Linked DNA regions of Lonchura striata. Each later gene encodes a partner of the first gene's protein in a complex. Links are inferred from orthologs where the notes say so. Each region holds a gene or a part of one and is shown in the gene's direction. Other genes may lie near its edges. The genes, in order: NUP160, CETN3, NUP153 and NUP188.

Region 1 (7,655 bases):
GCAGCTCTCCAGGTTTTGCAGGAGGGTGCTGGGGGGCACAGAGAGGACAGGGTGACCACAGCCCCTCACACACCCGCGGGACAGGGTCGCACCCCTGTCACCTCCCAGTGGCACCTGCTCCCCCACCTGCTGAGCTCGTAGATGTCCTCGATGTTCCCGAAGAGCGCGCTGACCTGCTCCGGTCGCAGCACTGGCTCCTCCGCATCGATGATCTTGCCCAGGTAACCCTGCCAGGCACCCATGGCAGCACCATTGCACCCCTAGACCCCACACCATGTCTGAGGGGCGTACCCCCCTGTGCCCCCTGGCACCCACCTCCACGATGCTGCGCAGGTCACGGGCGTAGGTGCGCTCTGACTCCACGATCTCCTGCACCACACGGTCCAGGTAGCTGGGCTTGGCCCCGGGACCCCCGAAAGCTGCCAGGGGGTGCCCACTGCGGGCACCCGGCCACCCCCCCGGGGATGCGTTGTTGTTGGCATTATGGAGCCCCTCGGCCCACGCCTCGGTCCTGGTGCTGGGCGGGTCCTCCATGGCACAGCCGGGTTCTGGGCTCAGGGCAGGGCGCTGCGGACACGCAGGCACCGGCATCCCGGCATCCCCTGGCACCAGTGGGGCACAGGGTGGCTCTGGGGGGAGAATGGTGGGTTAGGGGGTGTGGAGAGCCCCCAGATATGGGTGGCGTGTGGCACCAAGGGAGTTCACCCTGGCGGCCAAACCCTCTATGCCAAGGGGTGCTAGCATCCCCCAGCCCCAAAAATCTTTGGGTACAGCACAACGGAGTCTCTGCACAGCCCACCAATGCTGCGATCTGGGAGTCCAGCTCTTCCTCATCCCAAACCCGGGGACCGCGCTGGGACCGGGTGGGACGAGTGCCTCTGCCCCCACCCACCGGGGCCGTGCGTCACCGCCGCGCCCGCGGGACACCTTCCAGGTGAGCTCAGCGCCGGCTCGCCCTTCCGGACCACCGGTGCTACCGGGATCCTCCCGTGCCACCGAAACCGCTCAGTGCCACAAACACGGTTGGGACAGCCAGAAAACAGCGGCCACTGGCAAAGCGTGTGGGAGTGTCGAGGCCACTGAGCCCGGTCACCGCGGCGGGTGGCCCTGGGGACAGCGACCTTGAGCTGGGCCACGTGCTGCGCCGGCGGCGTGACCGCCCGAGCCCCCCGGCACCCCCGGTGCCGGCACCCAACCGGTCAGGCCGGTTCCCGCCGCCGCTTCCCCACACCCACCGTGCCGCGTGGCCGCCATCCAGCCACCGCCCTCCCCGGGGCTTCCCCGAGCACGCCAGGAGCCCCCCAAAACGCCACCGCGGTGCCTCCTAAGTGGGGTTCGGACCCATGTCCCCAGCGGTGCCACAGCCGGGACCCCGGGTGCTGGTACATCCAACCGTGGCATGAGGCACCTCCTGGGCACCCCAGATCTGGGCGATTTGGGAGCAGCTCCCCTAGCCCCCAAATTCCTCACTTTTACAGGCATGGGGCACCCGGTCACAGGGTCACCTCGACCTCGGGGGAGGGAGCGGGGGCACCCAGGCGATGACACTAGAGAGAGTAGACCCCAAGCATCCCTTCCGGCAGTGTCAGACCCCTATCCCACCCTGCCGGGGGGACAAAAGACCCCCAGGTGGCACGGAGGGACCAGACAGGACCTCCCCCAATTAACATCCGGGCGGGAATTTGTGGCTACCGCAGCTCGTCCCCGAAAGCCAACCCTGGCCATCCTAATCCGCTCACAGCACCGGGATTACGGCTCCGGTCCCACGTCACCGGGACCGCGGCCACTCTCCTGGGCCCGTCGGTCACCGTCATCCCGCCCCGGTGATCGGGGGGGGGGGTTGATCCTCTTACCCCCCGGTATCAGCTCGGTGGGCACGCGGCCGCCCACATCCCTCCCGCTCCCGCCTGCTCCGGGCGGGATTAGCTGTGACCTTCACGCCCCCGACCCTCCCCATCTCCGCCACAGAGAACGGGCGATCGCCCTGGAGTGCCGAACGCGGGGCTCCGGTGGGTCCCCAAAACTCCCCGCTGGGGGAAACTGAGGCAGGCGCCGAGTATGTGCTGCCGGGCCGGCGGGAGGGAGGTGGGATTTCCTCTCCACCGTGGGATCACCGGCCCCGTTGCACATTCCAGCGCGGGAGTTGGGGCGCGAGGCACAGCCCACGGCGTTTTCCCAGGATCCCGGCACGGCACGGCACGCCGGGAGAGGGGCCGCGGCGCGCCAGCCCGCCGGAGCCATATAAGGGCAGGCGGTTCACCATTTCCAGGCATTTTCCAGAATCCCAGCGGCCTTGGGAGCGGGGAGGTCGCCGCCGGCTCGGGCGCAGCTGCCGCCGCCGTCGCTCCCGGCCCCGGCTGGCACCGCCGCTGCTCGGCGGGCACGGGCTGGGCGCCGGCGTTCCCGCCCGCGGCGACTCGGGGGGCTCGGCACCACGGGGGACCCCGTGTCACGGCATTCCCGGGACAAGGCGGCACCGACCCGCGGGGCTGACTAAGCCTCTTAGTGCCCGGCGCCCATGGCGTCGCGCCGCCTAATCCCGATGGAGGGGCGCAGGACACCCCCACCTCCCACTAGGACCCCTGTCCAGGGTCACCCCGCATGCCACAGCCTGTCCTGCACCCCAGGCTAGGCTTGAGGACATCCCACATTTCTTTAGGTGCCTGTCCCGGGGGTCTGCCAGCACCCCAAGGTCCTGCTGTCCCGTGCCCCAGTATCCCCAACTCCCACTTGGTGGGGACCCCCAGCTCCTGCCTCACTCCGGGCATCCCTGGACTCACGAATCCTGCCTAACCGGGGCCCGTGGATCCTGCTCCACCGGGATGCAACGGCTCCTGCCCCACCAGGACCCACGGATCCTGCTCCACCGGGACCCACAAATCCTGCCGCGCGGGAATGCAACGGCTCCCGCCCCACCGGAACCCAGGAATCCCATTCCACTGGGATGCAACGACTCCCATTCCACCGGGCTCCTCGGCTCCCGCTTCACCGGGATGCAACAGCACCGGGACCCCCGGATCCTGCCCCACCGGGAGACCCCCTCTGGCAGGGACCCTCGGGACCGCCTCCTCCGGGGAGGACCGAGGGCTCCCCTCCCGCGGACCCCACGGCCGTGCCCCGCTCCCGCCCGGACCGGACTCACCGCTCTCCGCTACCGCCGCCGCCCCGACCCGTCCCGTCCCGCCCCGTCCCGGCCGTGCCCGCAGGAAGCGGCGGGAGCGCCCCGGGGCGGGGACAGCGGCCGCCCCGCCCGGCCCCGGGAACGGGAATGGGGACTCCCGGGAATGGGAGCGGGACAGTTATCGCAGCGAGCCCGGGCGTGACCGCGGGGCACGGTCCGGTACTGTCCCGGTCCCGGTCTGGTCCAGGCATGGTTCCGGTACAGTCTTGGTACTGTCCTGACACGATCCCGGCACAGTCCAGGTACTGTCCTGGTACGGTCCGGTCCAGAGATGGTTCAGGTACTGTCCCGGCACGGTCCTGGCATGATCCCAGTACTGTTCCGGTACAGAACTAGGCGTGCTTCTGGCGTAGTCCCGGTACTGTGCAGGCACAGTCCCGAGATGGTCCTGGGACAGTCCTGATCCTGTCCTGGGGTGCACTGAGCATGGTGGATGGGAGCCCGCAGCCACCGGGTCACCCGTGGGGTCCCTTCCCAGGGGACAGGAGCACCCGAAGGGGTCCCAGCCCCAGCCATGGGCACCCACTATTCCTGCCCGAGGGGATGCAGACAGGGACACAGACACCCATTGCCACCAGCCACGGGGTGGATGCAGGGCACCCCTCCGTGCCACGGCAGGATGGATGCCCGCGGGTGGGGCCTGCTCCCAGCGCTCCTCCATCCCGCCTCAGCCCATCCATGACTGGTGCATGGCCCTGGCTCTACCGTGACACTTGAGCCCCCAAATCCAACTGTGTGCCAGCTCTCCACACCAACATGGGGGGCTTCAACCCCCCTAGAAAAGCTGGGAGCCAGCTGGAGCCCCCGGCCCCTCACGGCACCTGCCACCAGAATGGGCCCATTCTACAGGCAGCGCCTCGTGCGCCAGCACTGGATCCGCTCAAAGGCTGGATTGTTCCGAGCGGAGCGGGAGCCTGGCCAGGCCCAGTGCTGGCGCTGCCACTGTGTGGTATTGCGGGGGGATGTGTGGCATCCATGGGATGATGGGGTCCCCACTGCCCTCACCAGTATGGGAATATGGGCTCTGCCAGTGGCTGGGTTGGGTGTGCTGGACATGTCCGGGAAGGCGGCTGTGGCTGCTTCGCCGGGATGAGGTGTGGGCACAGGTGGGTGTCGGGAGCTGGCAGGGTGGGTGCTGCTGAGGACACATGCCCCCACTAAACCAGACCTCCTCTCCTGTTCCCCAGTGTCCTGCCCCAAATTTCATAGATCCTCCTCAAACCCCTTCCCCAAATCCCCCTTTACCTTCTCGCAAAATCCACTCTCCCTGTAGCCTTCTCCCCAGAGTCCCCTTCCCACATCTCCATGCCAGATTCCCCTCCCCAGACCCTTTCCCCACCGTCCCGCCTCAGCCCTCCCCTCTCCCCCCTTCCTCTCCCTCTTGCCCCCGTCCTCCCGCCCGCCAGGGGGCGCCCGCTCCCTCCCCTTCCCGTCGTGCCCCGCGCGGCCGAGGCGGGAAGGCGGCGGCCCAAGATGGCGGCGGCTCTGGCGGCGCGGAGCTGCCTGGAGCTGAGCGCGGCCGGCCGGGCCCCGCCGCGACCCCCGCAGGAGCTGCTCTTCGTGCCCCCCGGCATCGCCCCGCTCCCCGCCGGGCGCTACGGCGACAGTGCCGGCGGCTTCTGCTACCAGGAGAGCGCGCAGCTCGGGGCCGCCACCAGGAATCGCTGGGTGCGATGGTGAGTGCACGCCCCCGTCCGCCTTGCCTCGCTCAGACCCTCCTCATCCACACCTCTCCCTTCTCACCCTTGTGAGACCCTCCTGTCCCTCAGACCCTCCTCATCCTCGTCTCTGCCTTTCTCTCCCCTCTCGGACCCTCCCCATGCTCAGCTCTGCCCCTCTGTTTCCGCAGGAGCACGTCGGGGGACACGGTGGAGCTGGTGGAGGAGTCCCTGGACGTGAACCTGCTGAACAACGCTGTGCGGCTGCGGATCCAGGGCTGCCCGTTCCTGCCGGGCGGGATCCACCTGTGCGAGGTGCAGAGTCACCTGGTGGTGCTGCTGCTCACGGCGCAGACGGTGCACCGGCTGCTGCTCCCGCACCCCGCCCGCCTCTACCGCAGCGTGAGTGCCGGGAACGCCGCCGGGGCCGGCGCAGGCGACCCCGACTCCACAGGGAGGGCTGGGGAGGGGGTGGGTGACCCAAAATACAGCGGGAACAAGAGGAAAAGTGGAGGTTTGGGGAATTTAGAACTGTCTTGGTGTTCCGCCTGCGTCATGTGGTGACTCTGGAGCTGCAGGCTGGTTTTGTCTGGATTGGAATCTGTATTTCATGGATCCTAGGTAGGGTTTATATCACATTTACCATCTTCCCATGGATGTGGGTTGGAACTGGATGGTTTTTAAGTTTTTCTCTGTCTGAAACCATTGCAGGATTCTGTGATTCTCCCCATTTCTGACTTTTCCATTTGTGCCTGCTTCTTACCAGGATCTTCTCCTCTCTTGGAGAGCTTCTCTCTCTAAGAAAGCTCTGGAGAGCTATCCCAAGGGATGACCCTGTGCTGTGGCAGAGCTGCTCTTCCTGGGATTTGTGACCAGTGGTTTTCTCTGAGCTATGCCAGAGATTTTTTACTGGAAAAATCATTTTGATCAAGGAGACAGTTTCCATTCCATCGATGTCTGATGTTTTTTTTTCCCTGTGCCTTAGATATATGTGCTCAGGATTTGATGTTTTATGGAATCCTCTAGGATCATGGAGTCCAGCACTGCCAAGGCCACCCATGTCCCCAAGCAGCACATCCACACAGGATGTGAACTCCACTACTGGAGCCTGTTCCAGTGCCTGATAATCCCTTCCATGAAGGAATTTTCCCTGATATCTAACCTAAATCTCCCCAGGCACAACTTGAGGCTGTTTTCTCCTGTTTCCCCACAGGAGCTGATAACGGAGAGCCAAGTTCAGTCTGTGTTTACAGATATCAGCAAAATCCACATCAGGGATCCCTCCAATTACTACGTGATTCCCAGCGTGCCGGGGCTGGCTCCCAACTCCGTGGCCTCTGCAGCCTGGCTGAGCAGCGAGGGAGAGGCTCTCTTCGCCCTTCCCTCCGCCTCAGGAGGGATCTTTGTCCTTAAGCTGCCTCCTCCTGATGCTCCTGGTAAGGATTGGGCACTACACCCCCTCTCCCATCTTGGAATTTCATTTAATCTTCACTTTTTGATTTTCCTTTTGTTTTTTGAAGGGAGTGTTTCTGTCGTGGAGTTGAAGCAGAGCTCGGTGGTGCAGCGTTTCCTCACAGGCTGGATGCCAACTGCCATCAGGTGAGTGCCTGGAGAGAGATAAACAGAGCTAATTTTGGCTTTTGGATCCCCTCACCTGGAATTTTTAGCTTGAGTCACACATGCACCTATAAATACTCCACCCGAAAAAATTAACGGGGTCACAGGAGCTATCAGTGTACGGAAGTTGGGGGTGGAATGCTGGATTAGCAGGGTCCTGCTGTTCCATGTGTCTATGAATATGTTTCTCTAGTAATTGGCCTCCAGGGATTTGCCCAGGATGTGGCTCGCAGCCAGCATGGATTAGGGATTACTCTGCCCTGGTGCTGAGGAGCCAGGCGCGTTCCTGACCAGCAGAGGTTATGTGGGGATCACATGGATGCTCCGTGGTGGGATGGGCTTGTTAGAGTGGTTTAGAGTGCACAGCTGAATCCTAGAGCCTTTTTCTTGGAAGTGGGAGTGAGTCCCTTGATGCCCTGAGTGACTTTGACCATTGTGGGTGTGTTGCCCAGGGGCTGGCAGGATCCTGGCAGGATCCATCCTGCCACATTGCTCTCCTCAATTTGCTGCTGTTTCAGGTTTACTTATTTACTGTTTATTGTTTACTTTTGGGGCCTGAAGCTGCAATGGTGTCCTTGGTTCTTGGGCTGGAAAAATATGGTTTTGTCTAACTAAACTGTGAAAAGAACTTGCTAACACTTCATATGAAGTTCAGAGTTACATACTATTGCAGTACAGAATCTGGAAAAAAGGAAAGTTAAGGCATTAGGCTGTCAGGATCCTTGCTCATGTCTTCTTGCATCCTTGTCAGGGGCTGGCAGGATCCATGCCAGGGGCTGCTTGGATCCTTTTTTCCCTCTAGATCATTCACCTGTGTTTTGGAAGTACCTGGGGATGGGGAAGTGGGAATGTGCTTCAGTTCCACTAAAGCAAGTGAAGAGCTGGATGTCACTGGTGTGGTGGGATCTTCTGCTCTGGGGATGCTGAAACGTTCCCTTCTCCTAATCTCACCTACCAGTTTATTTGGATTTAAGCACAGTGGTGGAACCCCACTGCCTTGGATCTGTGCACCTGCCATGATTTTAGAATTATAAAATCCTGTAACAGTTTGTGTTGGAAGGGACCTTAAATAAAGCTCATCCAGTCCCACCCCCTACCTAGGGCAGGGACACCTTCCACTAGACCAGTGTCCAGGCTGAGTTTGGATGCTTCCAGGGATGGAGAATTTTCTGTGGAGGTGTTGATGTAACCTCTGGTTT
Region 2 (7,926 bases), on another chromosome or scaffold:
AACACTACTTGGATTAAATATTTTTAAAATATATTGTAAGTTTAAATACTGTGTCATGTAAGCATTTAGACCTGTGTTTATTTCTTTGTTACATCTAAATATGTGTTAATGTAGTTTTCAGTAGACTGGGGAGTTGACATAAAAATCAGATGGGAAGTTTTGTTCTGTAATCTGTCAAGGCTGTTATGATATTAAACAACAGTTTGCACATAATAAATTTTTTTCATGTATTGTCATAATAAAAATTATAACCCTATGCAGTTAAGTAATAATTTCTAGGTATATCTCAACACAAGCACTTTTCATTCTAGATGGAGTATATTTACAAGTTGCTTGCAAAATTATTTATGCTTCTGAGAAAGACACTGCATTAAAAATGTTTACCCATTATACATGCACTTTGCCTTGTAAGAGTAGTCATCTGTAGCCAAAGAAAAACAAAATAATGCAGCTCTGTTATGGAGAGTGTGAGGGAGATAAAGGTGGAGGAAAAGGAGGATTTATTAATATTTAATGTTAAAAATCTAGGTCTCAGCATTCAACCAACACTGGTCCAAGTTCCTATTTATGCATATGTAACTTAAATCAGTAAGCACTATCTCTTGGTTCTAAAAATTCAACCGTGTATTATCCAAAATACTGCTAGTCCATCTAAACTCCTTTCACTTTCAAATTGAATTAGGAAGTATAAAAATGATTGAGAAGCAATGAAAAAAACCATCATTATGTTCTATTTTAAATTTATTTGACGTTAACTATTACATGAGGGAGCTGCTAGGCAAAACATTCATCTTCAGCATGGTTACTCCTAACTACTCAGACTTTATTGGACAAGCTGTCTTACAATAATTTAAAACTTATTGATTAAAAAATTATTTTAGAGCTAACTGTGAGTATTCCCACACATGCCCAACAGGGTCCTGGGGAGGCAATGAGGCATTCAACAGAAAATAAAATTGGGAAAGTAAGCAAACAAGCAGCAAAAAGAGGCCTGACATGGAAAAAGGCACAGAAACTTAGTCAACATTGCTGTGATTGTGCCAGGTATTTCCCAGCAGTTTGACCCTGATGCACAAAGAAGTTCATTCACAATCATCAAACTGCCAATGATACTTGGTATGTTTTTAATTTGACTTTATATTTGTACATATTATTTGTTCTAAGAGTGACATGAACAGAACTGTTTTGACTTGCATGAAATCTTACCCATCTTCTCCTTTAAAAAATTCAGGATTAATTTAATTACAATTCTGATATGTGATCTGATTTTGAGCAGCTGGGATGAGGTTTATAGTCTTTGCATACTCAGATTCAATTTAGGACAACAGAGTGGTAGGATAGTTTCCTAATACTAATAAAATTAGGATTAGAGAAGAATATAGCTTCACTCAAAGGGAAGACAGACCTGGCAGACAGCCCCACAAATTACTTTTAAAAAGCAATAAATGAGTTTGAAAATTAAGTAAAAGCTAGTAATGTTTTTTCTGGTTATGCTATGCTTTAAGTATATTTCATTATTAATTATTTTCCTTATTAAGCTGAGAATATGTTTGTGTGAGAAACATGCTAGTGCATTCATAAGTGGTCATTTTAGGACGGGTTTAATCAACTTTGAAAATGCAAGGATTTACAAGTCACTACTACCACAACCATGTACTTATTTTTAGCTATTATTACTTGAGCCTATTATTACTTGAGCCTATTATTACTTGAGCCTGTCTTTTCTCTTTGGAATTCTGTGCATCTCCATTTCACATGCAGTATGAGCACTGCTGCTAACTTAATGAAGAGTGGCACTTTGGTTTCTGGAGCCACTTTTTAGCTTATAAATTTAGAAGTAGGGACATGAATGTGGATCTTCAGTTCCCAGAAGCACACCCAGACTATCAGTATCAGGTATCTCACTCTGCTTGACAAAGAGCAGCCAGGGCACGGGTGCACCATGAGAGAGGACAACCTGGAAGCAAAGCACAGTCACAACACTGGCAGGGATTATGAACTCCCTGCAGAGTAACTTGACCTGTCAGCAGCCCAGCGACTGCAGACAATGGCAAGGTCATGACTCAAGGTCATGGCCAGGCCACAAAGTCTGTAAATATGTCAGCAAGAGCAGCACACAGTACAAGACGGGAATAACCCCAGCGCAGCTCAGGCAAGATCCAAGACCCTATGCTGAGACCCAGGATCAACACGCAGAGGAGGTGAGAATGGGGGTGAAACAATTTGGGGCTCTTGGTGCAGCTGGGGGCTACTTGTGCTACTTTCCCACACTTAAATCACCATTTGGTTAATGCTTCCTTTTCTCTCTGGACAAGTAAATGTGTTCTATGAAACATAAAAAAAAAAAAAATTAATCTGTGGTTATATTTGCACCACAGTACAGGCTGAGGGTCAAACCTGCCAGTAATTTATGCTTTTAGTTGCAAAGCTACTGTCTGTAAACAGAGGTCAATTACAAACCGCTTGCCTCTGCCTATTTGATCTGTGGACCAGGCATAATATGAACAGACAGCAAAATAGGTTTCATCTCTTCTTGACTTTGCTCAGGAAAAATGTGTATTGAGCAAGCCAAACTCTACATATTGAACACTGTGTACTCCATGTACATAATAGTTTATTACCGGAAACACGGGTGCAAAACATCTCCAAGACAAGCTGTCAGGACTGAAACGCCTGAAGGAATTTTTCATTGCCTGAGAATTTTCAGTCTGTCTAGCCAGACTGCATAACATAGGATCTGAATAACATAATGGTCCAGTTAGTAACACTGTACTATGTTGTCAAAGCTAGTTATGAAACAGCCCTTTTTTATGAAGAAAGACACAGTGACAATTACTTTGTCACACACCAGAGCACTGAGGCAGCGCTTTGCAGAAATCTGAGTTTTCTCACCAGTGATATGAGCATTTTCTCTACACAGATATGTAATGGTGATTCACTGACTGTTTTGCAAGACACAGTAATATTAGTGTCAATGATAACTGGAACTATACATAAGGTCTTCCAATCTCCACACAGTACATATTGCTTTTGTTATGAATGGGGTCTCATATGTCCAATTTGATAAATCACAAGATTGCAATTTAGCAGCAATTTTTAATTGGGGTATAAAATAATAATAATACTACAATCAAATGTAATGAAGTGCTTACAAAGAGTAATTTGACAATGGTTCAGATAAAGCATAAGTGAAACCAATCAGGGTATGGAGAAGGCTTCTTGTCCTGCTATCCATAAAAAGGGCAAAATGATCCAAACAGAAATTTTATACTGTATGCTAATACATATTCATCAATATTTCCTGTAAATCTCCTCCCATTTTTGATTCTTGAAATCTACATCACTAATACTACACAGCGCATCCTCCTGTTGTTGCTATGGGATCTCCTGGGCTTTTTGGTGGTCTTGGAGGAAGGCCAAAGGTCTTCCTTACTTGTCCTCTGGATAACCTGGCAGGTGGCACATGCACATTAAGTTTGGTGTTATGTAAGTAAGCACTATTTTCCAATTAAACCTTATTTATCTCATAGATAAGACCACTATTTTAGACTCCCTGTCTGGAATTGTCCCAACTTTATTCATCTCCAAGGTTGGTCCTGCTCTGGGAGTTGTCTCATTCCATCTTGATGCCAGTTTTGGTTTGGGAGTCTTCCTGACTTTGTCCATTCCCAAGGCCGAATCCAACTCCTACATCCTGCTTTCCACTTGTATTCTTGAAGAAACCCGTCCGCTTCATAACACTAATCACATGCACTTTTCCAATTATTTTTCCAAATTATTGGTTTAAGTACAACTTATTCAGCACGAATCACATCTATTTATCACACTTTCAATCAAATTTTTAGCAAGGCAAAATCTGTACAAGTGCCAGAAATGCTTCTGTAAATGCCACTTTTGTGTCCATCTCCACAGCCCACTGCACCTCCAACAGTTGGACTGAAGAGTAGCGAGCAGGCTCTGGGGGCATGGGGAGTTCTTCTGACACAGACACCAGACGTTCTACAGCAAGACTAGTAGACGTGCTGACCACAAAAATCAGATTTATAACCCAGTGTGCAATAAGCCAGTAATTACACACTTGAGGGAGACATGGATTATTTGTTTTAGAGTCGCAGAAGCCTGGGTGCTGCATTGTATTCCATGAGTCAAGCACACCAACTATCAAAACTCTTTAGTATTTTGTGTATTTATACACATTTTAGCAAACAAATGCATTAATGTTCACTGGCTTCAGGTTACATCGTTCTCTTATTAATTATTATTCTATATTCTGTTGTTAATAATTCTCTTATTTCTCATGCTAATTAGTCACATGCCCAGTCCTTCTCTTGAGTCGGTGGGCAGCTTGGTAAGTGATCTGCTGGAACTGGAGCTCATTCAACACAGTTGCTGAGTTGCCTTTATTAATTTCTTCCGTATCTTGGGAGTTCTGCCAAATGTCCTTGGAGTCTATAAATTCCGAATTGTTTGTTTGATATTGAAACACGTCGTGCCCTAGACCTTAACAAGGAAATTAGGACTAAAGATTTGTCTTTCTAACCCCTGGACATTATTTTAACCTTGCTTAGTAGCGTCTATCTGTTTCAAGGATTGAATCTCCTTCCTTGTTGATTAGGCTTGAAAATCAAGATCAAACATCGAGAAATCCTTCCTTAGGGAAACTTTCCCGCGGCGCCCGCTCGGCGGCAGACGCGGCGCGGCGGCCGGAGGCGCGGCCGGGAGCCACCGCCCGCTCTCGGCGGGGCCCGCCCTCTCCGCGCTGAGTGGCAGGAGCTCAGCCAATGGCAGCGCGCTCAGGGCTCGCAGGCGGGACTTTATCGCCCCTCGGCCAATCAGGTTGGGGACTCGGTAGGGGCGTGGCCTAGCGGCGTCGCTAAGGGCCGGAGAGCGGCGCGGCCGGGCTGGGACGCGGCCGGGCCGTGCGGGGCCGTGCGGGGCAGTGCGGGGCGGGGCAGGGCAGGGCAGGGCAGGGCGCGTTTGCCGGACCCGGCGCGTTTGCCGGACCCGGCTGCGGCAGCGGCACCATGAGCCTGGCCCTCAGGTCGGTACGAGCACGGCGCTTCCCTTGCTTGCCCGCTCGGGGCCCGCAGCGCGGTGTGGGTCCCTCAGGGCCACGCTGCCCCCTTTGGGAGGCCGTGGCGGGGCCTGGGTCATCGCCGGCCTTCAGCCGGTCCCATCTGATCCCTTCGGCGGGCCGGGCCGGACCAGGCCCGTCTTTCTGGCCGGAGAAAGAAGGGTCCGGCGCGTCTGGCCTTGGGAAGTTCGCTTCTGGGTTGTCTGATGTGCTTTCAAAAGGCCTGTGAATAGGCATAAAGTTAAACTGCTTGGCTTTGTTTTGTTTCTGCATTCTGATTTAGTAGCTATTGCGTAAAGGAGCCTGGCTTATGAATCCCAGTGCCTGGCAAATTTTTATCTTCAAGTGTAATTAATATGCTTACATGGCACCTGCTACGATTAATTTTCAAATCTAAGAACTTGATGCTTGCTATGGTTAAAGTAGTTGCAGAAGTGGTACTGAACTACTTGTATTTGAGTACTGCTTTGTCTTTTGATAAATTATTTTATGCTAAGCATTAAATGAACACTTAGGTACCTGGATTGCTCCTTCAGAAGAGTTTGGTGTTAATCTGCTTTCAGATTTATAAATGTATTTCTTCATTGTAGCTCACAAAATGTGGGCTCCCTAGATCTGATCTACTTACTCTCTTGGTCCTAATTACCTAGCCAGCTCAGAGTTATTTTAGGCCTTCCAAGAGTTGTAGTAATCCAAAGCCTGTGTGAAATCACACTGTCTCAAGTGGTCTGTTAAGAACATCTTACTCGTTGAGGGTATTGTGGTTTGAAGCTCAGCTTCTGCAGCTTGCACTTTTATTGTGTGTATTTGGGGTTTTTGCTTCAGTGGTTGTTGAAAACTAAGTATAGATAAGTGTTTAGTCTTAGGTTTTGATTAAAATTAGCAAATTGTTAACAAAGAAGAGCATAAAACAGCTTGTTAGAGGAGACTTGGAAAGTTAATCTTGCAGTTTTCTGTTCATTGAACAGTAATCTTTATGCAGTCTACCCTAGGTGACGCAGCAGCACTCATTCTGCCTCTGGTGCAAAAGGACAAATGAGCATAAAAAGCCTATTCCTGATAGTATAACATAAACTATGCAATAATTTAGGAAAGACTTATGGAAGTCATCTAGTCCAGCTTCCTGATCACAGCAGCTTCTACATAAAGCTGGCTGAGGATGCTAAGCACATTTTATAATTAGGTTAAAAAAATGTTTGATGATGGAGACTCATTCCCAGTGGAACTATTCTAGCATGTCACCACATGCACTGGGAAAATATTATCCCTTAGATCCAGCTGTAGTTTCTATACCAGCTGCAGTTCTTTCCCTTAAATTTTGTAGTTATTGTCTCTCCTCCTTTTACTATGCTCCTCTGAAAATATAAGCTTATTTCTACTAGCCAAAGAAAAGGGGGCAGTCTTTGAGCAAGATTTGCTGATTTGGAGGGCTTGTCTCTTTCATATATACCAAAACAGAGCAAAAAAAAATCTTCAAAACAGTGTGTATGTGTGTGGTCTAAAGAATTAAAAAAAAATTCCTACAAGTACTATTTATCTAAGAATTGTTACAGGTGCCAAAGTTGATTTGTAGCACCTAATGCTAGCTTTTAGTAGCCAGACTGTTTGGCCTAGTTTGGCTTCCACTGGCATATCAGTCCCTAAATTAATTTTATTTTTTAAGCTACAGTGTAGAAATTAACTGTTTTCAAAAGTTGTATAATTTCAACTGCTAATGTAGTTTGAAACCTCAAAAAGCCTTTTTATCTGGTAATTTTTCTATCCTCTGTTTTTTGTTGTTGTTGATGCTTATTAACAAAAATGCCTGTGCTGGTTTATTTTGGGTGGGAGACTGGAGGTATCATTCAGATTTCACAACATAATTGTCTATTTCAAATGTTATTTTAAACTGGGAATACAAGCTGGGAAAATACTGACTAGGTAAGGTAGTGATTTCTAAAATTATGGTGAGTTTATTATTGGTGGAAATGGTTATTTACAATGACATCTTCCCAGTAGAAATCTGTTACACTACATTTAATTTTCTTTATGTAGGAATGAGCTCTCAGTAGATAAAACTAAAAAGAAGAAAAGAAGAGAACTGACTGAGGAACAGAAGCAAGAAATTAAAGATACCTTTGAATTGTTTGATACGGACAAGGATAGAGCAATAAATTACCATCAATTAAAGGTAGAAGTTTCCTTTCATTTAAGCAATTTTATAGCAGATAATATATCTGTTCCATAGTGAATACTTAAGATGCTGGCTATATCTTTAAAAACTTCCTTCAAGATGTCTTGCTTGGTTAAAGGAGTGAAGGAAAAAACAAGAAAGAATGGGAAATTTCTATTGGTATAGGAATAAGCTTTTCTTCCCACTTTATTATTTACTTCATGTGTAACAGAATTGCTATAGCATTGTAAATAACCCTGGTATAATTGCTGACCAGGGATAAGCTTGGACAGATGGAAAAACTGTCCAGGGATAAGCTTGGACAGAGGGAAAAAACTCTTGTGTTTGATTAGTTTTAAAGATTTATGACTTAAAGCCTTCTGTTGGTTTCAGATGTGTAGGTAAAATATGTAAATCAAATTTGTAAAACTGTTGACTACAAGCCAGAGCTTACCTGTATTTTTCAAAAGAAAGCCTATGATTTGTAGGAATAAGGTGTGCTTTTTGAGGGAGGCTCAGTTGTTGCCCTTCTCAAATAAGGATGCTCCTAATGATAGCCTAAACTCCATCTGCTAATAGCTTTCTATGTAAGTAAGGTCTCCCACCTGAAAGTCTGCAGAGTAGTAGATGGAGTTCACTAAACTTCCCTTAAATCATCTATGCATTTTTATTCTAATTAAGACATCAAGAACAAAAGGTA
Region 3 (7,642 bases), on another chromosome or scaffold:
GAGGCATTTTGGTACTGATGTGTGTTTTAGGGGCAGTCTAAACCATAATTGCTAGGATGGCAGGTTTTTTTTCTTTAATGACTTAATTACATTGAAGTGGTGGTCATATCCCATATGCTGTTCTTAAATGTGAAACTAGTACTGCATTGCAGAGTGATGATTTGGCATGGCAGGTCCCTTCTACCTGCTCACCAGAATCTTCCTCTTTTCACAGTTTGATTTCAGCTGGGTTTTTTTTTTTTAAGTCCCACCCATGAAATACAGATGCTCTAAACTGGAAGGGTCTTTTGGTGTGATATAGGAATTTCATTCTTCCTGAATTTTGTGCATTGCAGGTGTAGAAAGAGAGAAAACAAAAGCCCTTCTTTCAGGCAGGGAGACAACTATAACAGTCTTAGAATGTTTCCCTGCTTTGGAGAGAACTAGTTGCCAAGTGGCTGAAAACTGGGATTTTGTACATAAATGTTTCTCTGGTGTGAACTGGTTAGTCTATGGAGGGTCACAGTAGGGAGATTAATAATGGGAATGTGACAGTGGAATAAATGAAGCAAAGAGAATTTGGATGGGAAAGAGAACAGTGTGTCTGTATAGAATTGTTTCATATGACTGCAGAAGGGAGGAAACTCAATAGATGCAGGCCCCTTGAATTTTGATGTGAGGATGTTAAACTTTCAAAATCATGCTGGATTTGCTGTCACTTTAGTTGCAGTGTACAGTTGGGGTGCTTGAGCTTGGTAGTACAAACCAGTTGCTAGGCAAAGGATTTTGTATCCAACAAGCACTGTCATCACAAGCTGGAAGATTATAACCCAGGCACAGACCTGGAAGTGTCCTGCTTTGAAGTGCATATCCTGCTTTGCATAGCGTTACCTAACATCATACTTTACCTGTAGCAAGTAATTTGTGGAAACCTTTCATTGTGTTATTAGATAGTAAGGGTGCATGTTGGCTTGGTAGAAATACTATAGAGTATCCACTGATTTTTTTTTTTTTTTTTTTTTTTTGTTAGCTTTTGGGAGTTTGATCCATATGTGAATTATATAACAAGGAGCCCATGTAGTTGTGTGATTTCACTTTAATCAGCACTGTATTACCACAGCACATAAACATCAGAGTCTGTAGTCACAATATTTATGCAGAGTTTACATCTTAGCAAGGTCTCCACACTCTGCATTATAGACTATTTTCAGACATGCATCTTCTGTTCTGGGCTGTAAAGTACCTGTATAGTGAAAATACTGCTTATGAAATGTAGTGAAGGAGGTTGTTTGAGCCATTAATTGTGCAAACCTGAGAAATGTTGGGGAATGTATTTTCTTTAGTCAGCACAGAAGAAAAGTGAGTTGAAGAAGGGAAGTCTGCTGGTTGCAGCCTGTGTGAGGCTGTTTTAAATAGCTCTCTGATTTTGTTTTCTGTCTCCTGAGCCTTTCTAGTCTATACTGCTTACCAGTTAGGAGTGCATATCAAGATACTGTGTGCAGCATATTCTTTACTGTAAATGCACACCGAAAAAACTTTGGTATTGGTGTAAGCATGAATTAGGGAAAAAGTGAATGCATCAGATCTGCTGGCATTCATTGCTGAGACTTTTAACTGGGGAAACTTTAAGCACTGGTCCAGCTACTGCCTCACTTAGCAAGCCTACACAAAGACCTGAACATGTCCATGATACAGATGCCTGCTCTCAGTTCTGCAAAGAGCTAATTGCAGTAGAAACATTTAAAAAAAAGTATTGGGACCAATGTTTTCAACACTACACTATTTCACTTTGTTTCTTTTTTTTGTCTGTTTTGCCCAGCTGGAAAGTTGTGGAGTTTTTTAAGTCTGATGAAAGGGTTTTTTTTAAGAATATCAAGTATTGGTTTTATAAACTCTTCATTGTACCTAGCTGTGATAGATAGTGCCTTTACCTAAAACCCACTTAATTCTTGAAGAAGAGTAATGTTTTTGTTTTCTACTATTCTGAACAGAAAAGCTTTAGTACCATGGTTTGAGGGGCTAATGATCCTGTAGTCAGTGAACAGGGAGGAAAAAACAGGCTAAAAACCAGTGAAGACTGAAAAGTGTTCAAAAAGGTTAAATGGTACTTAAGCCGTGAATGTTTCTTTTTGCAGGGATGCTCTTGGACCAACAGCTTCTTTCTAGCACTACCTCAAAGTAACTTGCAGATATAACTCACAGGGAAGATTGATCAAATGGTGATGATCACTATCGTTCTGCTGGAGATATATATATATATATATATATGCCTTTTGTTTTGTCTCATTTTAATGACATTTATTTAACTTCAGTGACTCATGTCAATAGACATTGACTACATCAACAAGTATTTCTGAGTCATGAGTTTCTTTAAAGGTATGTCACCATATGGAAATTGTTCTAAATAGGTAAAATAAGTAAATAAAGCAGCACTTGAATTTATAGAGCAAATGTCTAGTGTAGCTGCATTTGACATGTATATGGAAGAGAAAATCGTGTTTACAGCTTACCTTAATATTCTTAGCATACATGAAGAGGGAAGCTCGTTTTAAATTTGTTCAGCTCCTACCTGACCAGCACAAGAATGATTTTAGTCAGTTCCCCACGCAGGTACCATTTTAGAAGCCAGCATTGTTACTAATGAATGTATGTTACCAACGTGCAGTTTCCATCCCCTCTGTAAATCTCGCTCTTCCCATAATGGAAACACATTATGCTAGCCTTCCTTCCCCTTCTCTTAAGCTGAAAGCTAGCATGGTAATTGGTTCCTGGACAAAAAGAATTGCAAATCCAGGCAAAAATACTATTTTTTTCCTATTTTGATAATTATACTGATGTAGATCTAGAAATGCCCATTGTAGAAGCAGACCATCATCCTAAAATTAGTCAGCAGCTGTAGCACATCAGCCGTTTACGCAAAATGAGGTGGTTCTTGCAGGTGACTTCAAACAGGCATGTTCCAGGATAGGGATCGTCTATCACTGCAGGTCATCCCCCTGCATGTAAAACTGTATTCTTAATTGTGAGAGTAAGAGTGTAGTTTTATGAGGAGAAATATCTGGAAAATAATTCCACTATGCTAGGTATTGGATAATAGTTATTTCCTATAGTTAATGAAAATGGGACAGAGAAATTGAGCCAAGTCATGTAAGAGAGCTAGGAGGACCCCAGTGAAGTTCAAAAAAAACCAGTATGAAGCAGAGATGAGGCAACACAAAATTTCCTAGTACCATTTCTTACAGCTGTTCCTCTGCAGCTGCTGCCAGCTTACCTTTCTGTATGCCTTCAGAATCACCCTTGTTTGAGCTCCCCATAATTTCCAAAACCTTTCTTCAGGTGCGTGCTGGTTTGCACTGCTCAGCTCCATCCTTCCCACGGCAAGTTGATGCTAAAAATAAAGAGTGAAACCATAGTGTTTTCTCAACTTTACTTTCAGTAAGATAAAAATCCCACATTTTTATGTATTTAAACTTTGTAATAGGAATGCACTCTTCCTCATATTTTGAGGAAGTAAAAGCCACGGCGAAGCCTTTTCCCCTACCTCCTTTCCATAGGCCACCACTTAGTGATGAAAAACCTGCACCTGCTGTTTTCTCTTGCTTACACAAACTCGATCGCTAGTGGCAATCTGGGGGAGCACTGTGGGCTTCCCCGTGCAGTTTTTCCTGGTGCCGTTTTTCCTGGTGCCGTTTTTCCTGCTTCATTGTCCATGCTGTTCTTCGTCAGGGACAAGGGAAACATCCCCCTCACGCGTGGGTAAGTTGTGTACCTGGGGGCAGATCGTCAGAAGGACAGAGGCAGGCTCTGCTCGGTGGTGCCAGTCTCCCTTCACTGAAGAAAGTCAGGAACTGTCTGGATGCAATCCTGTGCCATGTGCTTTGGGACGACACTGCTTGAGCGGGAAGGTTGGATCAGATGACTCACTGTGCTCTTTTTCAACCTGAGTCATTCTGTGAAACGCTGCGGGAAGAGGGGAGGTGGCGGCGGAGTCACCCGCGGCGGGACCCCGGCACGAACCTCCGCTCGTGTCCCCTCAAGGCGTCCCTGTGCTGCGCCCGCGAGCAGGCACGTCCCCCGCCACGTCCTTGGCGGTCGCGGCAGATCCCAGCGAGCGCTTTTCCCGCGCAGCCGGCCCGGCCCGGCCCGGCCCCTCCCGCTTCCCTCGCAGCGGGGGCGGTGCGCGTGCGCGTGCGCGGCCGGGCCGTCGGTCCGGCGCCGCTTGTGTGACGCGCCCGCGCGGGCTGGTGACGCGCGCGCGGCCCGGGGCGGCCGCCGTGTGGTTGGTCGGCAGGGCAGGGGGGTGCGGCGGCGGCTCGGGCCGCGGGCGGGCGGACAGCGCGCGGGGCGCCGCCGCCGGGCGGGAGAGCGGAGCTGGGAGCGGCGGGCGCAGGGATCGGGAGGGAACGCGGGGAAAGGGGAGACGCGCGGGAGGGAGAGGCGCGCGAGAGCGCGCGCGCGCGCGGGTAGGGGCGGGGCGGAGGCCGCGGAGGAGCCCCCCGCGCACGCACCAGAGGCCGCGCGCGGCGCGTGGCGGGCGGGAGCGGCGCGGGGGGAGCGAGGCCCGGCCGGGCGCGTCCCCGCGGGGACGGTGACAGCGGCAGCGCTGCCGGGCCGCGGCGGAGCGCAGCGGCCGCACCTGGGCGAGGAGGACGAGGCCGCCGGCGGCGGCGGGCCGGATCGCATCATGGCCTCGGGTGGCGGCGGCGGCGGCGGCGGCAAGATCCGGACCCGACGGCACCACCTGGGAGCCGCCAAGCCGCCCTACGCGAGGGGCAAGCAGCAGGTGAGGCGGCGGGTCAGCCCCGTGAACCCCTTCCCTTCCCACCCCGCTTCTCCCCCGGCGCTCCCGTCCGCGGCGGCAGGAGGCGCCCCGGAGGCCCGACCCGGCAGAGCCGCCCCTTTGCTCCGCCGCCCTCCCCCCCGCTCTCCACGCAGCCCCACGTGCGCGGCTTCGGGCCGGGGTTTCCCGGTGGAGCGGCCCGTGGGGAGGCAGGAGGGAAGCGTTTCCCGCCGGGACCATGGGCATTGTGGGATTTCCGGGCGCTCGCCCCGCTCCGGCGCCGCCGGGCTGCGGGGGGATTCTCGCCTCCCCTTTGTCTTCTGCGTGTCCCCCGCTAGGCAGGAGCAAAGGCGGGAGGAGGAGGAGGCGGCTGGGCAGGCGTAGGTGCGCATTCCCGCTCCTCGCGGTTGGAGCGGGCTGGCTCCCGCTCCACGGGATGCTCGCTCGTTTTGTCTCTGGGCTGCCCGGTTAAATCCTAATTTAATTGATCTTAACTGGATTATCAAGTTAGAGTTAGTCTTCAGATTTAAGTGCATCGTTTCTAATATTTGCTTTTCCTGACAAATTCCAGGTTGCGAATGAGGCTGTGAGGGTGCTGGGTAGTTGGGCATCTCTTCCATTGTGGTTTCTTTTTCTCTCTCTTTTTTTTTTTTAATAGGATGCTGCCTACAGAACCCTTAGGTTTTTTTTTTTAGTGTCTTGCCTGTCCCTAAACGTGGTGGTGCAGTGCAAGCACAATGTAATTCATGAGGCATTTGTTCTTCTTTGTGTTGTGGGACAGAATAGATGGATAACAGAAAAAAAGCAGTTTGTAAATTGTGTTACAAAGATCCTATGCCATTTAGAATGGCTGCAGAGAGTAGAAGCAAAGATCCTTCCTAACTCCTGTTTGTCAGAGAATTTCAAGATGCCTGGAGATGGTGCTCTGGAAATGCCTTTCACGTGTATTTGTGAACCTGAAATTGACTGTAAAACCAAGCGTTATTAAATCGGTAATATAAGCCAGGAGATTAAATATTATAGGCAAAATTGAGGGCATGTTATGCATAAATTGTTGCTCAATTAGTTCTTATTTGGGAAGTACGATTCTTAATCCTTTGTATAACACTGATCAGCAGTGTTGTCCTTGTAAAGTGGGCAGGGTGACTCTTCATCCAAAGAATCACTGCACTTGCTGAGCAAATGTTGAAAGCTCTTACGTGAACAACAGTAATGTTGAAATTTCAATATGCTGCACATGGTGATACTGTGTAGATAACTAATAAAACAGATGAATTAAAAATAATTAGGTGAGATGATTTTCTGATTGTTCTATTGTCTGTTACCTCTGCGGGTTTTCTAGTAGGTTTATTTAAACAATGGGGCAAAGCAAACATGTGCCTGGGGGGATATCTGTGAGATGCAGCCCAGAGCATGGATGCTGCAAGTTGAATACATCAATCAAATTAACTAGTATATTGGGGAAGAAATGGTAAATAGTCAAACAGATAGGTGTCAGATGTGCATTTGTCATAAGTTATGGCTTTTTAACCCTATGTAGCTTGCTAACCTGCGTTACATAAAAAGATGAGCTCTGGGTAGATAGCTGACTTGAACTGGAATTAATTGATAATTTTATTTTCAATAAAACATCCACTCTGCAGAAAGTATTCTGTGGTTTGGTGTTGTCTCTCAGTAATGAGTTTGAGAAGACATAGAAGTGCTCAGTGCAGACTGGACATGATCTCCTGCTCCCCTAACTTATCAATAAGGGAGCTCATAGAAGTACTGTATTAGAACTGTTCTAAGTGCTTTAGATCAAGACTGCAGTCTCTTATCACCAAGCTCTGAAGGTGCCTAAGCACTGAATGCCATATTGCTAAAATCTTTACAGTTCTTAGGATATCTGATTCTTTTCCACTTGTATGATAGATGAGTAGTAGCATGATGCCAGGCTTATAACAGGCCTGTTGTATGTTTTTCTTAAGTTGTTATGCTTTCTTGATGTTGTTGTTTTGCCATAGTCTCCCAGGGAGCTTGGTCACATGTGAATTCTCCAGTGGTCCCTAGCATGTTGCAGTCAGTCTTCCATTAAGTGCAGCAATGGCTTTAGAAGATATTTGGAAGAGGAGATGATGCTGCTTTTCAAAGATGATTAGCTAAAGCATTTGTTCAAAATGTGGTAGACCCTGTTTTAGATTTTTTTTTTTTTTTTTTTTTTTTTTTTACTTAGAGGCATCAACCTACATCTTCCACTTTCTGGGCAAATATCCCAGTTGCCAAGCTGTATGCTGTCTTTGAGTTCTTCTGACTGAAACTGTGTTATTATCCAGAAAAAGAATGTGTGATTCATTGAGCCAGGAAGAGGATGTATAAGAAGATGTTACCTTCCAAGAGTGGAGACATACAGCCTGTGATCCATGATTTCAGAAGTTATTTGTTTTATATATTCTTGGAATAAACATGGAAAGTGCAGAATTTCCTGCCCTTTTCTCCCCAGGTGCCTGATAGAGCCATATTGCGTTATATTTGCATGTGTTTTTGTTTTTTTTAAACTGTGGAGGTTTTTTTTGAATCAATCTCAGATAGGAGAGATGAACAGATGCTGCTTGGAGGATGTGACTTGCAGCTTTTATTTTCTCTTGGAAGATGGAGCTATGAGTAGATTTCCCCCAGTAGTGAAGGAACTTAACCACAGTATTTTCCTTTCTGGGCTACCATCCTGCCTTATAAAAAATGCACTGTCAGTGGTTGTATTATTAAACCAAGAGACAAAAAGTAATAGCACAATGAGGTAAGGACAGTATCCACTAACCATGAAGATTTGAGGTGGGGGAATCACAGAACAAAAAGAGCCTTTTTGTATCTCTTTGGTGGGTGTTCCTGGAGTAGAATTGTGGAGTT
Region 4 (7,172 bases), on another chromosome or scaffold:
GTGGCAGCTACTGATTTTGGATTTGTGTTTGTGTATCGTGGTGTGGTTTTGGCTCTTGCTGATGAGGACTGGACATAGCTGGACACTTGTACCTGGTTCCTGTGCCCCCCCCAATTATCAAACATGCTTTACATCGTGCTTATACAGACATGAGAGTTCACACATCAAACACAAGACAAGACTCAGTACAGAAAACAAGGTACAGTACAGAGGTAGCAACATCTGAGAGACTTGCTTGTTTATTTTTTCCCCTCTAATTGACTTACCTCTTCTTCCTCTGCTTCCCTTGTGCACCCAGAAGAAACTTAAATTGCATTATTAAACACAAGTGCTGCTTTTATCGGTTGTGTTTGTTGCTGTTAGAACATAAATCCGTCTATTTTCGACAGGAGTAAGAACAAGACCAAATCAAAACCTGTTTTAAAATAGTCTTTCTCATTTCTGTTCTCAACAGCTTTCTCTGCTGTACCAAAACATCACCTTTGAGCTTTCATTAAAGTGCATTTTCTAGTACCTTTCTCTAGGAAGGGAGAAAACTGTTCCTGGAAGTGCTTCTATGCCATGAGCATGATCTGGAGGTAGAGAGGCAACAGCAGATTATCAATTTGAGTAGTGTAAGCTTCCAAAAGAGAAACCAAACTCACAGATGCCAGAATCCAGGCATAGCTAGAGTTCAGATTCACACTGCTGTCAAAGATCAGAATGAGAGCCACAGCAATGATCTGAGCAAAAATAGCTGTCATTGTCCCTTCAAAGGTCTTCTTTGTTCCTGGCCATTTGATTTCCCCCATTGTACTGCCAAAAACAGAGGCAATGGTGTCTCCTACCCCTACTGCCAACACCCCAGAGTAGGGCACCAGTGCTCCTGCCCCAGACAAGGTGCCTTTAGGAGCACATGATCTGGGAAACAACCACACTGGGAGGGACATGCCGAGGAGGAGATAAATATGAGTCAAGATGAGAGGTCCACTGTCTCTTTCATCCAAGAAGAGAGAGAGCAAATGCCTCAGGGTTTGTCCAAAAGGTTTGATCCTGAAGTACCGGATGTACTCTAAGAAGATAAACACTGCCAGACACAGCACTGCAGCAACGTAGAGGAGCTGGCGGTCATAAATTAGTCCAGGAACATAAGTAGCTACAACAATGAAGTGGAAATATTTCCTGGTTATAGTCGAGGCCTGGTGTTTTTTAGATTCAGATGATCTCTTAGCATTCTGGTAGAAAACCACCCCACATGCTAAGGCAGCCAAGAAAGTCCAATACACAAGGAGGTAAAGTCTTGTCTGTGTCTGAAACAGAAACTGGAGCAGCCAGAACAAAGGGTTCCTCTGGATCAGTCGGTACAGCCACGGCATGATGACCCCTAAGCCTAACACTGCTGTCATCATGTGGAAAAACATGGAGGAGATCCATGTGCCTGAATCCATGAAAATGAAGAGCACGGTGAAAAAAAGACCAAGAAGAACAACTCCAACAACTGCTACCAGAAGGAAGAAGTCAGTGGGATCCCCTCTGCCCTCGATTACATTCAGTGAGCGTTTAATGAGCTGGTTGAGAACAAAACTTATACCTCCGAGAACCAGCAGCGCTTCCCCGGGAGTAAAACATCGAGGCAACAAGTACAGCAAGATCATACTGAGGTAGACGAAAATGAGCAGCACTTCCAGAACCTCTATCACTTCGGAGACAGTCAAGGAATGTTTCATGGTGTAGATAATTACGCTGCCAGCAACACCAGTCAGGATGCAAGTGTTGGTTGGCACAGGTTTGGTGATGCCAACCGCCAAGACGGACAGGAAGAGAGCGAGCAGCATTCCCGTGGAAGCCACCACGATGCCAAAGCGCTCGAAGTAGACGATGCCGGCAGCCCTGCACCTCTCCTTCATCACCACCCCCAGCAGGGGGATGACCATGCTGGCAGGCAGGAGGCCGCTGTTGGCTGCACCCCGGAACTGGAAGACAGCCCCGCCCTGCTGCAGCAGCCAGTCCCATTTGAACTGGGCGTAGAAGGCCTGGACGGCCAAAGCCACGGCGCACCAGGAGAAGCGGTCCCACACCACCGCGTGCACCGCCAGCACCGCGGTGAACACCAGCAGCGACTCCACCAGCACTGCCCTGTTCGACATGACTCCAGCCCAGCCTGCTCAGGCCTGCACAACTTCACCAGTCTCAGCTGCCTGTTAGGAAGAATTCCCTTCCATGCTACTGCAATTGCTATTAAAAAAAAAAAAAAGCAAGCAATTAAAGCAACTACTTGGACAGCTGAAGTGTTTGCACAGCTATTTGGTTCTTAAACTCAAACTCATAGTTAAGTGCTAATTGCTAAAGTCAACACACAGATGAATTAAAAAAAAAGTGAGGTGAGTAAATCCTGCAGTTCATCTTCTCTAAGTGAAGGCTCACAGCTCACTGACAGCTGCAAACCAAGCTTTGCTTTAAACGTTTGGACTGGAGGGTAAGCAGTTAAGATAATCAGCCACAGGCACATTTACTCTCTTAGGTTAAATCTCATCTTATCTCCCTCAAAGAATTGTGGGCATTGACAACACTGACAGCTGCACTGCAAACCAAGCTTTGCTTTAAACGTCTGGACTGGAGGGTAAGCAGTTAAAATATTCAGCAACAGCCACATTTACTCTGTTAGGTTAAATCTTATCTCCTTCAAAGAATTGTGGGCATTGACATCATTGTGCAATTCTCACCAGCATTTATTGCTTTCTGGTGACCCTGATTTCTCTATGGATACATCATTTGATAATGGGCCATATGTAAACCTCTACCATTACACTGGCCTCTCTTCTGGGGTCTTTGAAGTTCTCCTGTTCTTTATGTCTATTGGAAATATTATGGTTGATCCAGCTGTGAAAAGGGCTTACTTTATCCCTTCTGGACCACCCTTAAGCTGATTAGCAGCAAAGTCTTACTAAATTCTGCTCCCCCAGTCTCAATGCCAGTATCTACATCAGCTCCCTCATGGAAGACCAGAAGTTTATTTAAGGTTCTCTTTTGGGTTTTCAGCCAGTGTTGAATGGTGACACTAGATTACAAAGCTGACAAAGTAATAGCAATATTACTGAGAAATTATTACAGTTTGTACTGTAAAACTTTCTTAGCGTGTCTGCAGTGTTTAGATATTTATAACCTTGTACTGAAAACTTACTGATGGATTGCTTTTTGGCATCCTTATTCATATAGCCTGAAATACTTGATTGCCAAACACCTTCATTACATGCACTGTTGCTACACAGCTCCTTCAGGCCAAATGTCATTTCTTGTCATTGCAATTAATTTTTAAACAGGAGAAGAATTAATCATACAGTCAATAAACCAGAACTGGTCTGGGCAATATCTACCTCCAACCAATAACAGTTTTTGGGTTGTACTCCCTGCTGTTTCTGAGCACTGGGGAGGGGGAAGCCTAAGGCTTATTTGAGAAGAAGCAGAGTAAATGCCACCTGCCAGCCAAAGACAGAGTCCTCCTACTCAGTCTGGCAACCTTAAGGTTGCACCCCAGCTCCCGTATCGATGGCATTACAGCTTCCCCGCCGGGCTGCAAGAGTAGGTAGAAATTCACCCTGCCTGAGGTCTCTGATGGAGCGGCTCTGAATGCTTAGACCTGACAGTCTATATTTCACTAATGAGTTATTTCGTTTTCTTGTGCCTGCCGCAATCCCCTCCTCCGCACCTTCTTTCAGGTACTGTGAAGCTCCTCGGCACTGCCGCTCTCATCATCGAACGGGACCCACCGCCCTGCGGATCGAGCCGGACCCAGCGTTTTCTGCCCGTCTCCTGCTCCGCATGCCGGCTGCTCAGGGCGGGGAAGCTTCCCACTGACGTGCTGCCAAACATCCGGGCTGCAGCCCCTGATTGCTCCCTCTCTTCCCCACGACCCCGCAGCGTTGTGGACGCCCCTCAACCCGCGGGCTGCCCGCACCTGCTCGCCGCCGCCTCCTGTCCCCCTCAACCGCGACACCCACATCCCAGCCTCCGCTACTGGGAACGGCATCCGCCCGCGGGCGATGCCGGAGGCGCTCCCGGGTGGTTCCCGATTCCAGCGCGGATCTTGTGCTCCGGCCCGACCGCCCCGGGGAGCCCAGCCCGCACCCACCTCGCAGGGCGCCGCCATCTTGCCGCGCCGCCAGTCACATGACCCACGCGCGGGGGCGTGGCTTGTGCAGCACCACGTGACACCGGCGCGGCGGAGGGCGGCAGCCCTGGGTCACGTGACAGCGGAGCGAAGATGGCGGCGGGCGGGCTGAGCGCGAGGTGCGGGCCGGGGCCGCTCGGGCGGAGGGAGCGCGGGGGCGGCCTGGGAGGCCCCGGCTGTCGCTGCGGGCGGGCCGCGCTCCGCGGCACCGGGGGCCGGGCAGGGCTGTGGGGAGGAGGCGCAGCGCGGGGCCGGGAGGTTTTAACCGCGGCGGGGCGCGCGCCGGGCTGGCCCCGCCCCCGCCCGGCTGAGGGACCCTCAGTGAGCCCCGGCTCGGGCGCCGGAGCGAGCCGCGGCTGCGGCGCTTTTGTGGCGGGGCTCGGCTCGGCCCGGCCCGGCCCGGCCCTTCCCTACCGGGACCGGCTGCGCCTCCCGCGCCGCTCCCGTGCAAGTCAAAGTAAACGCGTGGAAATGAGTGATGGAAGTGATTTAATCAATCCCGAGTTCAGTGATCATCTTAGTTCAGTGGTTTCGTTTCTCCAGAGCACGTTTTTTGTCATTTATTATAACGCTTTTATGTTCTGGAGTTTCCCTAGTGTCTAATTTTTATTAAATTAATGATACCGCTGTTCGTTGTGGTCGTATACAGAGAGCTTTCCTCCCTTAGCTGTCTTGGAGCCTTATTAATGAGGGGACAACAAACCACGGTCTGTTTTATTCACAGGAGATTGTGAAGGAGTGAAAAGTAGGTGGGTTGGCGTTGCTAGGCTGGGGCTCAGAGCTGACAATAAGTAAAAAAATGTGTGCAAGGCAAATGAAGGCACTGATCTGACATGATCACTGGACCTGGGATTCATTGAATTGCCTCTTTCACATTGCTGTTCAGTTCTTGGTAAATACCTGGGTCTTTGGGTGCTCTGCGTGGGCTGGAGAGGCTCATGGCAGAGAAGTGCACCCAGCTATCGAGGAATGAGCAGGGAGGAATGATGCTGATGGGTGTGCTGGAAATAACAGGTGGTGTCATTCATTAAGTGTCACCACATGGCAGAAGTTGCAGATGACTTTCACTGCCACAGTGAGTTATTTTAATAATGTTATTCTAAAAATAAGGCAATGAGTGTTCTTGTGTAGACAGTCTTTGTGTGAGGAGTTGGGGTGTTTAAATCCTCATTTGTAATGTGTTGTTAGCAAATCATTGTTTGTCTAAGTGAAATACTGTTTCTGGCAAATATCTTTTCTCTGTGCTGTTGTAGGGAGACTTCTTTTAGAATGCATGTGCCAGGGTCAGGGTGTGATCTGTAATTTTTATAATGCAGGTTGGCTTTTCTACAGAGTTCTCATGAAGAAATGACAAGCTGAGTGTAAATGTTCTGGTGTCTGTGCGAAGATGGTGGAGTTTTTCACTTCATACAGTTTTATGCTCTGCCTAGACTGGAGGATGAAACTGCTGGAAAAATTTGTTTGAAGGAGAGCATTAAATGTAATAGTAGAATACTGCTTTATGCTTCTATTTTCTTCTTAGGAGCTTTAAATCAAATTAAAGTAAAAAAATCAAATTGAGCTGGTAATCTGATATCAATGTGAAGTTTTGATGTGAATTCACAGGTCTTGCTGTGTCAGTTGTCACCTCTCTGGGTTTTTCCTTGGTTTTTCTAGGACATTTGAAACTCATTAGCTGGAAGCTAATGTGCCTTAAATAATTTTTCTTGCATCGCAGTGTCATTCACTGTAAGTTAATTGCAGGTTTGAAAAGTGTAAGCTAGATGGAAGCCTGGAATAACATTCATCATTAAAATGCTCTCCACCTTTTCCTTGTGTTTGCAGGAGCAGCAGAGAATTATGGACAATTTTGCTGGGCAGATCAGCTTTAAGAGAACCAGTAAGTTATTCCCTGCAGAGCAGGTTTGGCCATCACTTATTGGGCTCCATGGCCAAACACATCATTTGTACACTCTTTGAATATTAGTGAAAATATTTTCTGCTGCCTTTCCTTCTTTCTCAGCATGATTTTTGTTCCTGTACCTCTGCTACTTGTTTATTCTTCTGTAAACTGCTGGTTTACAGCTGCTGCATGAACTGCCTGGAAGGGTGTATGGAAAAGGTGGTTCCTTTTCTGGAGTGGGCACAAGTGCTGCTGCCTGGTTTGCCCTGGGGTGTTCACGTGTGGTACAACTGCTGTCTTATATTGAGGGATGGAGCCTGTGCTTTCAGGAATTCGGCCAGAGGTTGAGAATCCAAATGTTTGTAAATCCAGTCCATTGCCTCCCTTTTCCTCACCCTCCCTAGGAACAGGCAGTGCAGCTCCCTGCCTGTTCAGTGCTGCATCTGGAATCACTCTGAGCCACAGACACCAGTCTTGTGTTCTTCCTGCCTCTTTGTGCTGGTGGAATTTCTTTGCTTTGCTGAAGTTTAACAGGTGTAATATTTGGTAATGCACTTTGAGGAGTCTGTTCAGTGGTGTTTGGTTCTGTTTTAGGCTCAGATTGCTGCAGAGTTGAACAAGCACTGGCAGAGGCTGTTAGAGGGACTGTCATACTACAAACCACCGAGGTACAGTCACTGCCTGATTTTAGAAATTAATCTCAAATGTGGAGTTTCCTAGTAAGTAAAGGAAGGTTACAGAATATTGTATGAAATATTGAAAGGTCACTGAGGAAGAAGCAAATGTTCAGTTTAGACTGATAAGAGTGGAGAACTTTAAAATTATGCCTATTTAATTTTTTCTTTGAGATTGCTGTATTTTTAATGACTAAAATTTCTTTTCACTTTAGTACGACTTCAGCAGAAAAAATTAAAGCTGATAAAGATGTAGCCGCTCCACTAAAAGAGTTGGGTCTGAGAGTCAGCAAGTTTTTGGTGAGTGAAGCTGCTCTTGGATTATTTTTTATCTCTGGAGTGAATTGTTACAGGATTCTGATACTGAATGACTTCATGATGTTGAATAGAGAGACACTTAAGGTCCTTTCAGTTCAAAGTAATCTAAAGGATGTTGAAGTACATCTGAGGCTCTAGGTCAAACTTCCAA

Evidence for each region.
Region 2: NUP160 (region 1) and CETN3 share a complex: the UniProt entries of both Homo sapiens proteins name them as parts of the nuclear pore complex. The link is inferred for Lonchura striata from reciprocal best matches to the Homo sapiens genes NUP160 and CETN3.
Region 3: NUP160 (region 1) and NUP153 share a complex: the UniProt entries of both Homo sapiens proteins name them as parts of the nuclear pore complex. The link is inferred for Lonchura striata from reciprocal best matches to the Homo sapiens genes NUP160 and NUP153.
Region 4: NUP160 (region 1) and NUP188 share a complex: the UniProt entries of both Homo sapiens proteins name them as parts of the nuclear pore complex. The link is inferred for Lonchura striata from reciprocal best matches to the Homo sapiens genes NUP160 and NUP188.

Annotation. Positions count from the first base shown.
Region 1 is NC_134608.1:52,472,251-52,479,905, reverse strand, and holds the start of NUP160 (nuclear pore complex protein Nup160), read left to right. Parts: upstream 1-4,648; 5' UTR 4,649-4,654; coding exon 4,655-4,857; intron 4,858-5,030; coding exon 5,031-5,241; intron 5,242-6,052; coding exon 6,053-6,275; intron 6,276-6,359; coding exon 6,360-6,438; intron 6,439-7,655. Other genes in the region: PLEKHG3 (pleckstrin homology domain-containing family G member 3), read right to left, coding at 1-28, 127-227, 316-591. UniProt on the Homo sapiens protein: Functions as a component of the nuclear pore complex (NPC). Involved in poly(A)+ RNA transport.
Region 2 is NC_134642.1:67,035,897-67,043,822, reverse strand, and holds the start of CETN3 (centrin-3), read left to right. Parts: upstream 1-4,912; 5' UTR 4,913-5,024; coding exon 5,025-5,041; intron 5,042-7,108; coding exon 7,109-7,244; intron 7,245-7,926. UniProt on the Homo sapiens protein: Plays a fundamental role in microtubule-organizing center structure and function. As a component of the TREX-2 complex, involved in the export of mRNAs to the cytoplasm through the nuclear pores.
Region 3 is NC_134603.1:90,606,371-90,614,012, reverse strand, and holds the start of NUP153 (nuclear pore complex protein Nup153), read left to right. Parts: upstream 1-4,625; 5' UTR 4,626-4,663; coding exon 4,664-4,762; intron 4,763-7,642. UniProt on the Homo sapiens protein: Component of the nuclear pore complex (NPC), a complex required for the trafficking across the nuclear envelope. Functions as a scaffolding element in the nuclear phase of the NPC essential for normal nucleocytoplasmic transport of proteins and mRNAs.
Region 4 is NC_134624.1:250,888-258,059, reverse strand, and holds the start of NUP188 (nucleoporin NUP188), read left to right. Parts: upstream 1-4,168; 5' UTR 4,169-4,240; coding exon 4,241-4,266; intron 4,267-5,971; coding exon 5,972-6,026; intron 6,027-6,623; coding exon 6,624-6,697; intron 6,698-6,918; coding exon 6,919-7,003; intron 7,004-7,172. Other genes in the region: DOLK (dolichol kinase), read right to left, coding at 555-2,126. UniProt on the Homo sapiens protein: Component of the nuclear pore complex (NPC), a complex required for the trafficking across the nuclear envelope. Required for proper protein transport into the nucleus.